Linked DNA regions of Tribolium castaneum. The protein of the gene in region 2 binds, or shares a complex with, the protein of the main gene of each other region. Links are inferred from orthologs where the notes say so. Each region holds a gene or a part of one and is shown on either strand. Other genes may lie near its edges.

The links.
Region 1: Myb (region 2) and Dp share a complex: the UniProt entries of both Drosophila melanogaster proteins name them as parts of the DREAM complex. The link is inferred for Tribolium castaneum from reciprocal best matches to the Drosophila melanogaster genes Myb and Dp.

Annotation. Positions count from the first base shown.
Region 1 is NC_087398.1:7,906,138-7,913,153, reverse strand, and holds the start of Dp (transcription factor Dp-1), read right to left. Parts: upstream 3,678-7,016; 5' UTR 3,328-3,677; coding exon 3,279-3,327; exon of another isoform or gene 3,098-3,278; coding exon 2,982-3,097; exon of another isoform or gene 2,963-2,981; intron 1,115-2,962; exon of another isoform or gene 967-1,114; intron 491-966; coding exon 418-490; intron 369-417; coding exon 298-368; intron 248-297; coding exon 78-247; intron 23-77; coding exon 1-22. Other genes in the region: Fsn (F-box/SPRY domain-containing protein 1), read left to right, coding at 5,247-5,828, 6,511-6,601, 6,648-6,742. UniProt on the Drosophila melanogaster protein: Component of the DREAM complex, a multiprotein complex that can both act as a transcription activator or repressor depending on the context. In follicle cells, the complex plays a central role in the site-specific DNA replication at the chorion loci.
Region 2 is NC_087396.1:14,747,554-14,754,246, reverse strand, and holds the end of Myb (myb-related protein B), read right to left. Parts: coding exon 6,451-6,693; intron 6,396-6,450; coding exon 6,077-6,395; intron 6,029-6,076; coding exon 5,874-6,028; intron 4,937-5,873; coding exon 4,742-4,936; intron 4,688-4,741; coding exon 4,403-4,687; intron 4,347-4,402; coding exon 4,188-4,346; intron 4,130-4,187; coding exon 4,016-4,129; intron 3,148-4,015; coding exon 3,049-3,147; intron 2,974-3,048; coding exon 2,854-2,973; 3' UTR 2,361-2,853; downstream 1-2,360. Other genes in the region: E3 ubiquitin-protein ligase Topors, read right to left, coding at 1,826-1,975. UniProt on the Drosophila melanogaster protein: DNA-binding protein that specifically recognizes the sequence 5'-YAAC[GT]G-3'. Component of the DREAM complex, a multiprotein complex that can both act as a transcription activator or repressor depending on the context.

The DNA.
Region 1 (7,016 bases), on a different chromosome or scaffold from region 2:
TTCCGACTTTCTGCTTCGTTTTCTAACACAAAGCATAAAGAGAAAAAAATAATAAAAAAAAAAAACAGTAAACTTACGAATCGTGTACGAAATCTAGCTCAATCGGATCGGCCCTTTTTCTTTGCAGAATCGGCGGCGAATTGTTCTTGTTTTGGACTGTGTGTGTTTGTTGTACAATTGGTATTGCCGTTGCATTTTGGCTAAGTTGCAGTTTCTGGTTATTTTGCGTAACAAATTTTATACTTTGCTAAAAATATCAACTTGTTACAAATGCTCGCAAGACATTTAACTCTCTACCATTTGAGTCGGCGTTAAACGAAATGTTTTCGTTCCTTTCGGGATTCCACTGACCTGAAGCGTGCTACCTTCTAAAAAATTTAATAAAAATCGGTGAACCGCAAACTCTAATTAGCTTACTTGTTGTTACGAATTTTGGAGTCGTTGCTATTGTTCTTATGATTTGTTGCGACGAACCTGTAGTGCCATACACCTACAGGGAGAAGCAGTGTTTTAAACGTGTACATATTTTAATGGATAAACAATTAGGTGATGAAAGTGGGCGTCGATGTAGGAGGGTATAATAACAAAGCGATAATTGCAAGGAAGAGTGTGACGTTGGATTAAATTAAAAATATTGTAAACTGGATTAAAGGTGTGACAATCATCACGCGATCGTGTCCTTGGGAAGCCACAAATGACTTCTTCGAATTTTTTTGACACGATCTCTATCAGGATATTTTGTTGCTATTTCAACACAAAACCAATCAAATACCTAAAGCCTTATTTATAATTTCGCTCCGGTTTGTGGCAATTTGTGTTGTGGTGAGATTAAATACAACACATTTGTTATCTACATTAATCGTGGGTTGGCTTTATCTGTAAAAGCTTGAAAGCAATCAAGAAAATATTGCCAGTCTATCCACGAAAATACTTATTTACACTTTATGCGTTCGGCTTAAAAACAGACATGAACACTGTTATCTAGGGTTTTTTATACCTAGGAAAACCTTATCTGTTATCAAAGTCGTAAATTTATTGCTACCGAATTAGGATGAAAGGTGCAACAATGATCTTACTTAAAATAGCATATAAACAAGCGTAAATGTAAAAAAAAGTAAGTCCAAAGTTAAATTATATCCACTACCATCTAAATTATGTAAAAAATCCATACAGTAATCATTTACGTAAAAACACTAGAAACTGATGCAATGTGAAAACCTAATCGCACGAATGAATTCAACTAACCACCGGTTAAAAATATCTCGATATAATTTTTAAGCCTGTTTCGTTTATCGACGATAATGTATAAAAGTTGAGGTTGTTAAAAGTTATAAAGCTTGAAACTTTGAAACCGTTGCGTGCCTTCGTGGATGATGTATCGCAAAGATTAAGGACTGTAGTAACGCAAAAAGCCGTTATTTCGCAGTATGAAAGAACCTTTTGCCCTTTAACAAAAGGAATTAATTTTACGCGTTAAAGCAACTGAAGTCATAACGCGTTTTTACATCCAAGAATGGGCCAAAAAAGTTGTCACAAACAGGATTCCCAATTCAAGCAGAAATAACAAACACGACAGTAACTCCTGAAGCTTTTTATGTAAATAAATAATCAAACACGTGTGCCCCAAACATGGTCTTGGATTGTAATGTCCCAGCGATTTTGATTGGGAAAAATCGTGATCGCAGACTGGCAGTGTCTCAACTCAGGTTCAAGGATACCTCAACAGGTTAATGGGAAGATCAGATTTATGATAGGTATTATCTGCCATGTCGCACTAGTTCCATTAGGAATTTTATTGACGGGATATCAAAGAACAAACGTTTGTTAAGAACGTAGCAATCAATAGCGATGCTAATCTGATAGCGACAGATATGTATATTTTATGGGGCCACTATTAATTAAAAATTAATGCAATTGCCGATAGCCACGGTCAAGATAATTAGAAGTAGACGTTTTTTGTCCTGTGACTAGAATCATAATTATCTCCGCTGTTTTAATGAGCTCGTCTTCAATAAAGCAATTTGAATAATCATTATCGATAATAAAGTGAAACGTACTAAAAAACGGAAAAGTAGTTTTTAAGAACTCTTAAGTTATACATAAAATAAACTGGATGTGGAAAATGCGCAGACGCGTGGTAAATATTGAGCAAAACTTGAAAAACCATTCATCTTCAAAATAGCCGGGCGCGGTGGACAGTGGACACACTGTATAGTACAGTAACACTTCGTTAATCCGAAGGTGATTCGGACTACAAAAAAATTCGGATTACCAGTAGCAACATAGTAATTATGTTTACAATCAGAAGAAACGTGGAAGCTTTAGTAAGCACACAAGTATAAAAATAGTTAGTAGTGGAAATTAATAACTCCCTTGAAATAATAATGATGTAGATTAATCCAATTACAGGGACAGGACAAGAAAGTGTTTAAATCGACTAGTTTTGTTACTGGCGTTGATAACACTCGATAATTTATCTAATAATTATGATTTTTGTGTTAATCTAAAAACCTATTCGGACGAGAAAAGCTTCGGACTATTGAGATATTGCTGTACCTATTAAGAGAAAAAGGGGTGACTGAAGGTGGGGTCTGAGAACCGGTTTCCGACAAAACAATCTAAAATATTTAACTTACAAGAGGTAAAAAGCTCGGTTTTTCTTCAATGACGCAACCTTATGAGTTTAACTGCTTTTGTGATCCAATAAAATTCACGAAACCATTACAAATGCGTGGCGATACTGATCTACCTCCACACAAACACGCGATAATTATGGTCAAGATAAATTAGAAACAAAAACAGAAGTAGTCGAAAATAGGCAAAGACATGCAAGAAAGATGAAAGAGATGAATGAATTGTGCAATTACCCCGAGATAAAAATTCGATCAATCGTTCGAAAACTTAGGAATAGATGTAAACAAATCCGTCTTATCTTTAACGAACTACAAACAAATTAATTTAGGGGGGAACGAGTGGAATACCTGGAGCGGTTCCTGGCTGTTCGGCGATTTGAAAATCTTCATGGGCTGCCCTGCCACCGAGGTCACAATGCCACTTATGGGCTTTCCACTGGGCTGGACCACCTTAATCATCTGCCCTGTTACAGAAAAAACGAATAAAACACGTGCACTGAACCCGCTTTTCCTCCCACATCGAGGCGGTTTCCCCCGAAACTCGGTCCTTTCCCGCCCAGCCCCCCAACCGGCAACTGTTTGCCCCCGCACCACTTCGTTGTGGGCCCCCGTTTTGGAAAAACCCCCGAACCCTTTAAAAATTACCATTGGCTCCCTGGATCACCCAGTTGGTTGTGCTGTTCTGCTGGGTCATTTTCCCTCTCGTGCGAAACACTCACTCGCCGCCCCTTTAGCACATTTCCTCAAAAACGGGACACTGTCGAAAAAGCACCGGTTTTTAAATCCGAGCTCCTCTCCATCCAACTCCAACAAAAATGGCGACTGTAACTAGGCGATATTTTGGAATTGAAATAGGCGGACCCCGCGCACCACGAATTCGGTTTAAACAACTCGCGAAGTTTCCTCGAATATCGCAATTTGCTAATTTCGCGCTTTTTAACTGCTTGCTTGCGATACAACACTTGGGGGTGTTTTTGAAGATGAGCTATTTCGTGCAAGGAAAGCCACTACCAGCTTGGCGGCGGGTACAAAGGCATCGCTCCCATTGGCTGGATTCCTTCACGTGGGACACGCTGCTCCTAGTTCGGGCAAGCGGCACGAGGGAGCGATGCGTTCGAAATATTTTGGCGCCTTTTTGCCTTGCGGCCCCCGCACGGGGCGCACGAGGCCCTGACACCGGGCAAATGCCCCGGAAAAAACACCCAGGGATGCAGTTTCAATAATACGCGGCTGTCAGGAAAGGTGCACCCACCGAACAGGCCATCGACAGAAACGTGCAAGACAGAACCTTAAATTATTAGAAAGGCAGTATTCGCTAGGTGTCGCTACTGCAAAAATACTATTTTGCACTATAATGACGAAATAGTCAGTAAATACGGTAAACACAAATGTAAAAGAATAATTATAAAATACTATTTATTACCTGTTTCGAAACCATAAAAATGCCAACATCACATTTTCTCTCAAAATTTGTTGTAATGGGTCAATTCACGACGGTATGCGTGTGGATATGGTAAATGTAATGTAGTTTTTCGACCTGTTATCTTCTTATAGATCTTAATACTAATTGTTCATACTCTTCTGACTGAATTTTTAGTCATCATAGCATGAATAGCAAAGGAAAGAAGCTCATACCCACACGCAAACCGTTATGAATTGACCCCATCAATATTTTGTAATTTTTGTTTTTATTTTTTAAAGCAAAAACCAAAAAAATACACGTTTTTAAGTAGAATATTTTTTTGGGGATTTTTTTTTTAAATCCAAATCTGTCATTGCCTTTTTCAAGACGTTCTTGATGTTAGAGTTACGACACTCAACTTTAGCCATATTTGATACTTGCATTTTTTAAAAGTTTTTTTATTTCTGCTAACAATTCGATGTATCACATAATGATCAGCAATTTTCGTAAAAATGCTTTTTCTCCATTTTGATCAGCATGTAATATTTGATCATATTTTGTGATACATCGTTGAAATCAGAAATAAAAACGACAAACGGACACCCTGTATTTATAAATATGTTTATTGCTGATTGTTTTTTACAGCCGTAAAACTATTTTTTTGTATTCTTATATTGCATATGAAATATAGATTTGTCGAACATGTAACATATAAAGAACAGTTTATTGAAAAGCTAAAGCGGCTTCAGAGGAATAAAAGTGCCGAATCAATTTTAGTAGAAACGAAAATTTAAACATTTTAAAACAACAATGAAAATTGTTGCTAAATACAAAAATTATGTAAAAATAAATACATTTCTGAAAATGAAAATGTGTCCTGGGTGTCGATTCTAAACCAATACTTCGACTCGAAAAGTGTTTTGAATGCTTCTGTTTATGATTTTTTAGATTTGACTGATTCTGCCGATGTCTGTTTCTAGAGATGTCCTGTTCTGTCGCTAATTTTTTGTTGAACACCACCTCTATTATATACGTGAATTTTTCTAGATCAGTTCGCGTCCTCAATAAACCGCGTTATTGGACGTCGTGAATGCAAATTTCGCGTGTTTATAAATAATTTAAGCGGATTTTATTGAAATCGCAATCAGTCGGTTCGAGCGGTTGGTATCGCTGTCAAGTGTCAAGTGTCAGACGGGTTGGTCCGTTCAAAAATGGATGCCGCTGTAGCATCAACATTGCCCGATAATGTGTTGGAAGTAATTTTTTCATATTTGTCTCTGCATGATTTGAGGAACTGTTCTTTAGTGTGTAAGAGATGGTATAGTTTTTTAAATGATGAAAATAACGACGTTTGGAGGCTGCACTGTATTCGGAAACTAGCCGAAGAAGCACTAAAGTCAGATTTGTTGTCTTCAGTTCCTACGTATAAAGCGAAATTGCGGGCGTTTTACCACGCCTGGAATCCGAACGACTGCTCTAGAAATATTTATATTAAGCCTAATGGGTTCACGTTACACCGAAATCCCGTAGCTCAAAGCACGGACGCTTCGAGAGGTAAAATCGGATTTAGACATGGGAGACACGCTTGGGAGGTGATCTGGGAAGGGCCCTTGGGGACGGTCGCCGTCATAGGAATTGCCACAAAAGACGCACCTCTGCAGTGTCACGGTTACGTGGCCCTGCTGGGCTCGGACGACCAGAGTTGGGGCTGGAACTTAGTTGATAATCATTTACTGCACAATGGAGATGCTCAAGGCAATTACCCGCTACTTAACAATGCCCCTAAATATCAAGTAAGTTCGCTGGTCCACCTACAGTCTGTTCTTTATTTAAACGGAAATTACCAAGTCCAAGACTCTATATTATGTAATTTTTTTATTATTTATTTTGACTGGAAATGGCAAGTTCTTTTGCCAAAACTACACCTTTTTCAACTGTATTTTAGAAATACTCAGGTTTATTTCAGAAGATGTTATTGTAATTCATATTAGTAAAGTTAAAGTTTTGATATTTTGTAGACGTTATTTATAATCTAGGACGTATTTTAGGATAATATTTTTGATTATATGGAGTGTCCCCAAAAAGAATGAGGGCATAATATTTTTTTAATGGCAAGCTTTTTTTCGTGCTCTTTAGGATACCTTTTTACCTAGTTTTTTTAAATTAGTTTGGGGATTTCAAAAAATTAAAAAAAATGGTTTTCCACCTTTAGTTTTAAAAATTAATAAAAAATAGAAACAGTGCTTTTTTGCTAACATTATTAGTACGTACGTGTTGTATAAGTTCTATTTGTAAGTTCGACACTTTACTTCTCTTGGTTAAAATTTGAAATAAGATTAATCTTGCATAACAGAAAGTGACCAACTTTTTAATTTTTAAAACTTATAATTTTTTGACGCTATTTGTTGTTTTGCGGTTGGTTTTCCGTTTAAATAAAAAACAGACTTTAGTTTTTGTCTTAGTTGGGTTTTGCAGGTTGGGGAGCGAATTCGGGTGATTTTAGATTGTGATGACAACACGCTATCTTTTGAAAAAAACTACGAGTTTTTGGGAGTGGCCTTTAGAGGTAAAGCGCTTTTTGGAGCGAGATGGTGTTTCATGAGGTGTTTCAGGATTGCCAGATAAAAAATTGTATCCAACAGTTTCTGCCGTTTACGGAAACACTGAAGTTTCAATGGTGTATCTCGGACCACCTTTAGATGGCTAACACAGCTGGAAGTTGACGTTAGTCTGTTAATTAACTGAAAAAAGGGGTTGGATGCTTCAAGATGGCTCATTCAGGACAGCAGGTTTGCCCATGTGATAATTACATTTTACTTCAGTCAGTCATACTTCCATTAAAAATGAGTATGTAGGACAATTTAAACAATGGTAGATGTAGAATTTTTATAACAGTAGACTAAGAGAGGTGCATTTGAAGTATATGTTGTCACAAACTTAACTAAATAACAGTCCACAAGGAGGAATTGATTTCGTTTTAA
Region 2 (6,693 bases):
AATTTTATCAATATTACTTAGCCACTGAGTGAAGTGTATTCGTAGTTTACTTATCGTGGGAACTGTTACAAAAGCGCGCATTGGAGAGTGTTAATATAGTGGTTTAAACCAGTTGTTCAGTAAGTCATCGTATACATGTTTGAGACTCAAGATAAGACATTATTTCCTTACCTTACTGAAGCAGTAAGTATTATGTTAATGTCAATAAAAGATAATTTTTGTATGTAAAAGATTATCAGAAATATTATGGCTTTTTGTTATAGAAGAAACAAATATTAACTGTGTAAGTTCTTTTGCTTTTTATTGGTATATACTTATCACTCTTTTTTTAATGAGTACAAGTACTCATTATCTTTATAAATGCCAATAAAAGGTGTTTAAATGTTATCCTTTAAAAAAGAAACTATTGAAATCGTAAAAAGCTAAGAATTATCATAGGTTATTACAAAAATGTAAAAAATTCACGCGACTATTTTATTTTTCTCTTACTCTACATATCAACAAAAGATACACTGGTTTGAAGATTACTCTTTGAATTACGTTTTCTTCAAATTCAGGTTGAAAGTATCAGTGTTTATTGTGATTTATGGTATAGATAATTGTGGAGAATAATAATGCAAAACATTTCTTTATTAGCTTTATTTTGATATAATAAAATCTTAAATTTTTGTAATTTGCCGTTTCATTTCTAAGAAAAAATAACAAAAAAATTAAGCTTTTTTTACTCCGAAATCAAGCAATTTCTTCGAGAAATTGTTTTACATTTTTCCACAATCATCTACACCATAAATAGCAATGAACACTGAAATCTTTTGTCTGTGTTTGAAGAAAATGCAATTCAAAGTGCTCCAAAAGTGCACCTTCAAACCAATGTATCTTTGTGGAAAATCCACGAAACTTCATAGTTTTCTTTATTTGGAAAACTAAAGTGATTCTCTACAACGCTCTGAACTCGGAATTCGCCAATTTTGAAGGATCCTATATCCATTTCCTTCAGATTTAAAGCTTGTCTGATAAGAACACTGTCACTTGTGGGGTGGAAGGAAAACATTATTTTAAATAAAATTTATTTATTAAGAACCTTTCTTATCAATCCCAGTCCAAGAAGTTACAACTTATTGAAAGAAGTTTATTAATTAAGTTACTATAATATTTAAGCTCCAATTTCATGGCAAAAAATTAAATAAACCTCTACGAAAAGTCCTATATTCGACAGTGTATAAAGTAGCAAAGAAACATAACGACGACCAGAACAAAGTTTTCAATTAGCAAGGGAATTCAATATTACATGAACGAAAAACTAACCAATGAACTGTTAAAAAATCAAATGTTTTTAATACTGGAACCACAAAATGTGCCTCCACCCTTTGCTATTTTAGGAAGCATCTTACTATATATTTTAAAGTTATGGTAGAAAAACTTGAGAACAGGGTCACTCCTTACGACTCTTTCTGTTCAAAATTTCCGTTCCCTGTTTTATTGCTCTTATCATTCCAACAACTTTTTTAAATCTCGACGTATTTAGTTAGTTAATTGGGTTTTCACGGGTTTTTAAGACTTCCGTATTACTTATCTGAACAAAAGGGTTTACATAGATATGGCAGTACATGAGGTCATCATTGCGGTTTAAGACTATGATCCTGATTATGATGACTTTTCAAAAACTATTAAAGGTTTTTCGTTCTTGCGAGCTGGAAATTTTTTGTACCTAAATAAATTATAATCTAGCTGTAGTACTTCTTATTTCAGTGCACCGGGCCATCAGCAAGTGAAAATACATGAACAATCGATGAAAATAATGTCGCAATCTTACAAATTTACTCACTCTAGACCATTCCAACAAACAACTGTAGCAAAATTCGTGCATGCAGGAATTGGCCCGACATTTGTTTTTGCACGTCCCCAAGCAGATAGCACAGTGTGGGGGCGGGCTAGCGGTGTCAGCACGGGGGCTTGCCAGTTTACTGTCTGCCATATCACTAAAACTCGATTTCACTGCAAATGCACTCCGGAGATGAATGAAGTCATGTTGATTTATCCACTAGTTCTGACCTTGCGAGTTTCGCGATTTTCCTACGATTAGACACACTATCCACTCACGCAACAACAATACTGCACCAAAAACGCTAATTTTAATGCTTTTTTAGCCTCCAAGTTGCTCTAATTTAAGAAAATACCACAAAAATCACTTCTAGGAACGTCTTGTGTACCGATCATGGAGTTGACATAAAACATCTGAAGCAGGGGTGCCAACGCAATCGGAAAACTACACCAGCTGCCACCTGGTGATTTTCCTGTTATGTAATACGGGGCACTTCCGAAAAGTTTAGTTCGGGGCGGAAAAAAACAACGATGCGGTGTATTCTTACAAAAGTACCAATTTTATTTAGTGACATAAAATTATAAAATAAATATAAATTCAGAAACACATTCTTTAAATAGATGCAAAAATTAAACTGAAGCATGCTTTATAAGCGAAACAACCCAAAGGACAACAAGAAAGAGACCTAGACCTACCATGGCAATAAAATTACAACTTCAACCTTTGGGCGTCCTTTCTAATAACTGTATATATTAAAAGATATAATTACGAAAACAATTATACAAGAAAAATGGTAGACTAGTTCTATACATGGTTTTTGTTCAGTAAGGTTTCATTTACTCAGTGAAAAGTCTATATACATTACACGTAGTTAAAAAGAAGTAAAGTGAAGCCGTAAACGAAACCTCACTCCGGTGATGCTTTATTGAATTTAGCCGACAAATCTACAATACAATCGTTTGCACTAAATTATTTGTAAAAAAGATTCTATTTACAAAGTGTAAACCGAATCGCATATGTACAAAATTTTCTTAAAAATTTAAAGAACGAGGTTTCAAGCTGGTAGTTCTTAAAAAATTGTGTGCTCGTTTAGTAAGGTCGATCTGGTCCTGCGTCTTGCCGCACGCAACCATGGCCCACATCTTCTCGATCTGGAAGAAAAACGGAACCTTACTATCAGGCGGCGCTTTGCGGACGTGGAGGGAGGGAAATGGGCGAGTGCTCACCTTTGGAGCTTTGGGCCTAGTATCCTCAAAAGTGATCCGCTTGGCGGCGGTGCTTCGTGGACCAGGGGCGCGGGAGGGGGCACTGGCAGATGGCAGGCGCTGCCGGGACAAGGATAAAAAAGCTACAATACCACCACACAAACGACCACATGCTGATTCCCCAAGCCTAGCATTAACACCCCCAAAGAGCCCCCGCGAAAGAGGAGCAACTTAATTTCTTAAAAACTAGGAGAAAATGCGTGGATTCTCTGTGCAACAACACTACTTACTTAAGTACTCAAGTGCTCTATCTACACAATATCTTAGTAATAATTAAAAACAACCGGGCGTGACTATTCTGGTAACGCTAAACTTTGTTCATTGTTGCATTTATGCTTCGCATTTTCTTCAAACCGTAATAACAACACAATTAACAATCAAAATAAATATTTAAAGACACAAATGTCATAATAATAAATCAGTTGCCTTGTTAAAGAACATTTCCGAGTCTCAGCCGACATAACCACGTGACCGAGGTTTAACCCCGTCGGTTGTGTCAGCGCGACCGGCCCCTGATAGTGTGACAATACTTGCGTTCTCTGTGCGATGGCAAAAGCTGACTGAAGAACAAAAAGAGGAATGGTAATCATGGACTTTGGTGACTTTATGCGCAACTTTTAAGTTGGCATAGACTAGAAGGTGAAGTGTAGGTACGACTCACGGTACATGCAAGATTGGTTTTGTCACTAGACTAAGAAATTTTCCAAACAAAATGTGGCCAATAAAAAATAAAAACAAGTAAATGTACAAAAAAAAAGAACTACAACCTAGACCTAAAAATCGAAGAAAAATAGAATTTCGAAGCGATTAATCCCAGACACATGTTAATAAGGGACCATGGGAACAGGTACAGGATTGTTAACTCAACAAAAAGGGGGCAGGATTAGGAGGGGAATAAATTATCTCCGAAATGAAACCATCCATGTACCTTGGATGATCCTGACTGAGCAAAATCCATCAGTCCGGTCACTCCCAAAGAGTCTTTCATTATCGAAGACGGCGTGGAGAACAGAGCTGAGGGATCGTCGCCCAACGATTTACTCTAAAACCAGACAATTAGTACAATGTCGAAAATTTGATTCGCAAAAATCGCAACTTACGGGAGTTTCCACAGCGAACGACGACATATCCTGCGACGAGGTGGAGGCCCAAGACGGCGCCAAAGCCTTCCGCACTCGCTTATTCGGAAGAACGTTTTCCTTGCCTTCAGCGAGCCCGTTCCCATTTTTTCTCTTCCCCGTCATGTAACCACTATCATTCTAAAAGTCAAGCACACATCAATAAAAAACACCACATTAAACTGTGACTAAATTACTGTAATCATCAGACTGGTGTCGGTTTCGTAATTCGAACTGATATCTTGGTCCTTCTTCATGATTTCCGTGATGTCTTCCAGACGAGTTGGCGTGTCTGGGAGGTGCGTTATAGGGCCGGACTTCTTCTCCAAGTCGGCTAAGGCCTTCTTGAAGGGCGTTGGGGTACGGGGCGTGTCCATACTTTGGAACGAGCGCTTGCTGGGTGTCACCGTTGGGTCGGTTGTGGAACTCAGCATTTCCACCTTGACTGAAAGACCGTTGGGGGTGCTCAAGGGACTGTAGTCCTATAAGAAAAAAATTAAATATTGTGGTCAGAAGACGAGTTGAATGTTTCGTACAGGTTTTAACGATCGATCTTTCAATGGTGTCGTCGGGAATCTCTTGACGGGCGTTGAGGATAAAGGCATCTCTAAAAAGCCAGGACTGTTGAAGAACTGTGAAGGGCTGAACGGCAACTGTTTTATCGGGGAGGTGCCATTGTTGTTGGTTGGTTTCGTGCTGTAGCCCAACATAGACGCAAATTCGTCGATGTTCTACAAAATAACAATGGACTGTAATCAACTGAATTATGCCCAAATATTAAAAACATGGCCATTAAAAGCGAGCTGCATATTTTATTTTTTCTACAACCCGTCATCATAAACAATTATTTAATTTTGAAATCAAAAAACCTCACAGCCACAACCAACTTTGATGACTTATAGACTCTCAAACTTCCCCTCCTCTGTTTTTTTTTTGCTCCAATGCAATTTGCATTTACCGTTTTTAATTTTCCAATCATTAATTCTGCCTTTATTAAAAAAGTTACAAAGTTTGCAAAGGTACGAATTGCTCATTATTTCGATAAAAGCTATCGATTGGTATAAAAAAAATTGGATTTGAGTGGTCATTAAATTTCCATAAGATGGAACCGTTCCCATTTTATTGCTTCTTTCAGAAAAAAAAGATTACACATCTCTTGCTCTTTTTTTATGCGACTGTGCCTTAATTTAATTATATCTCTGAATAAATTTACACAGTTTTTGTACTAGATATCACTACTTAAACCATCATATTCAAGTCAATTTATTGCCTTATTATAATAACTAACAAAAGAATGATGAAACATTTTTTTCATTTAACAAATAAAAAAACAGTTGTTAAATATCTAACTGATGATTTGTTTGTCGCTGGTGAAGCCAAAATAAAATTTCGTAAATGTGCGGTTTAAATCGTTTATTAGAAGGCACAGAGGTCTTATCTTCGAAAGTGGTATTTCGCACATAATTATCTAATTATTTTCAAATTATCATCGCTATCTATTTTACCTTCAATAGCACAGAGTTTTGCTTTATCAGATGCAATTGTTCAGTTTATAACTATTTCTCTTATTATTTTTAGTTTATGTTTTTGTGTTATGAAATAGATCTGGCCATTCAACGAATAACCATAATTAGCTAGAAATTGGGTTTGATGTCCTTTGATTCTTACCCGATCTTCAGCGCAGTCCGACATGATATCCTGGCCTTCACTCTCCCTTCTTCGCCTCGACTTGGCACCCCGTCGCAGGATGGGAGGAGTGGAGGCTCGGGTCATATTTTCAGCAGGTACTAAAGTGTTTTGGTTGAGGTTCGGCGGTGTCAGGCCTGCAAGCAAGCTAGAAATGACGTTTTTCTGACACTTGACCAACTTACGTGACTTGATAAAGTGGCGACTTTCGGAGAAATCCCTCAGTGGGTTTATTCCACTCGGGGTACAGTATTTCAGGTCAAAATCGTCAGTCATTGGTGTTAGTTTCACGGGACTAGTTTGGTTGTTGTACGTATTTACATCAAGGTAGCTGTATGATGGCAAATCTGCTTTAACTGAGGTCGTGGAGGGTGGAGGCGAGGAGGAAAAGCTGACGACCGTATGGCTGGGGGTCAGAGGACCTGGACTGGGGGTGGCCGTCAGAGAGAAACCGCCTGTGCTGGACTGGTTGCTTCCATGGTCGTACGTCTCCAAAGTCCATTCCTGCAATTAACATTAAAATAAAATAACCGGTCGTAACGCAATCCCGCGTGCTCACATCATTGATAATCAGATTATCCTGGTTGACACTGCGACTATCACAATTATCAATGGTCACAACTTGGTGGTTCTGGTACTGAAAGGCCAGAATGTCTGCTTGTTTTGTTTGGTTCTTTCTGGCTCTCCCACGGCGCGTCTCCCCGTCTTGGCGGTTCTCGGTCTCGTACCTCCGCCGCATGGTGGAGTTCCAGTGGTTTTTGATGGCATTGTCCGTCCTTCCGGGCAACAGTTTGGCGATTTT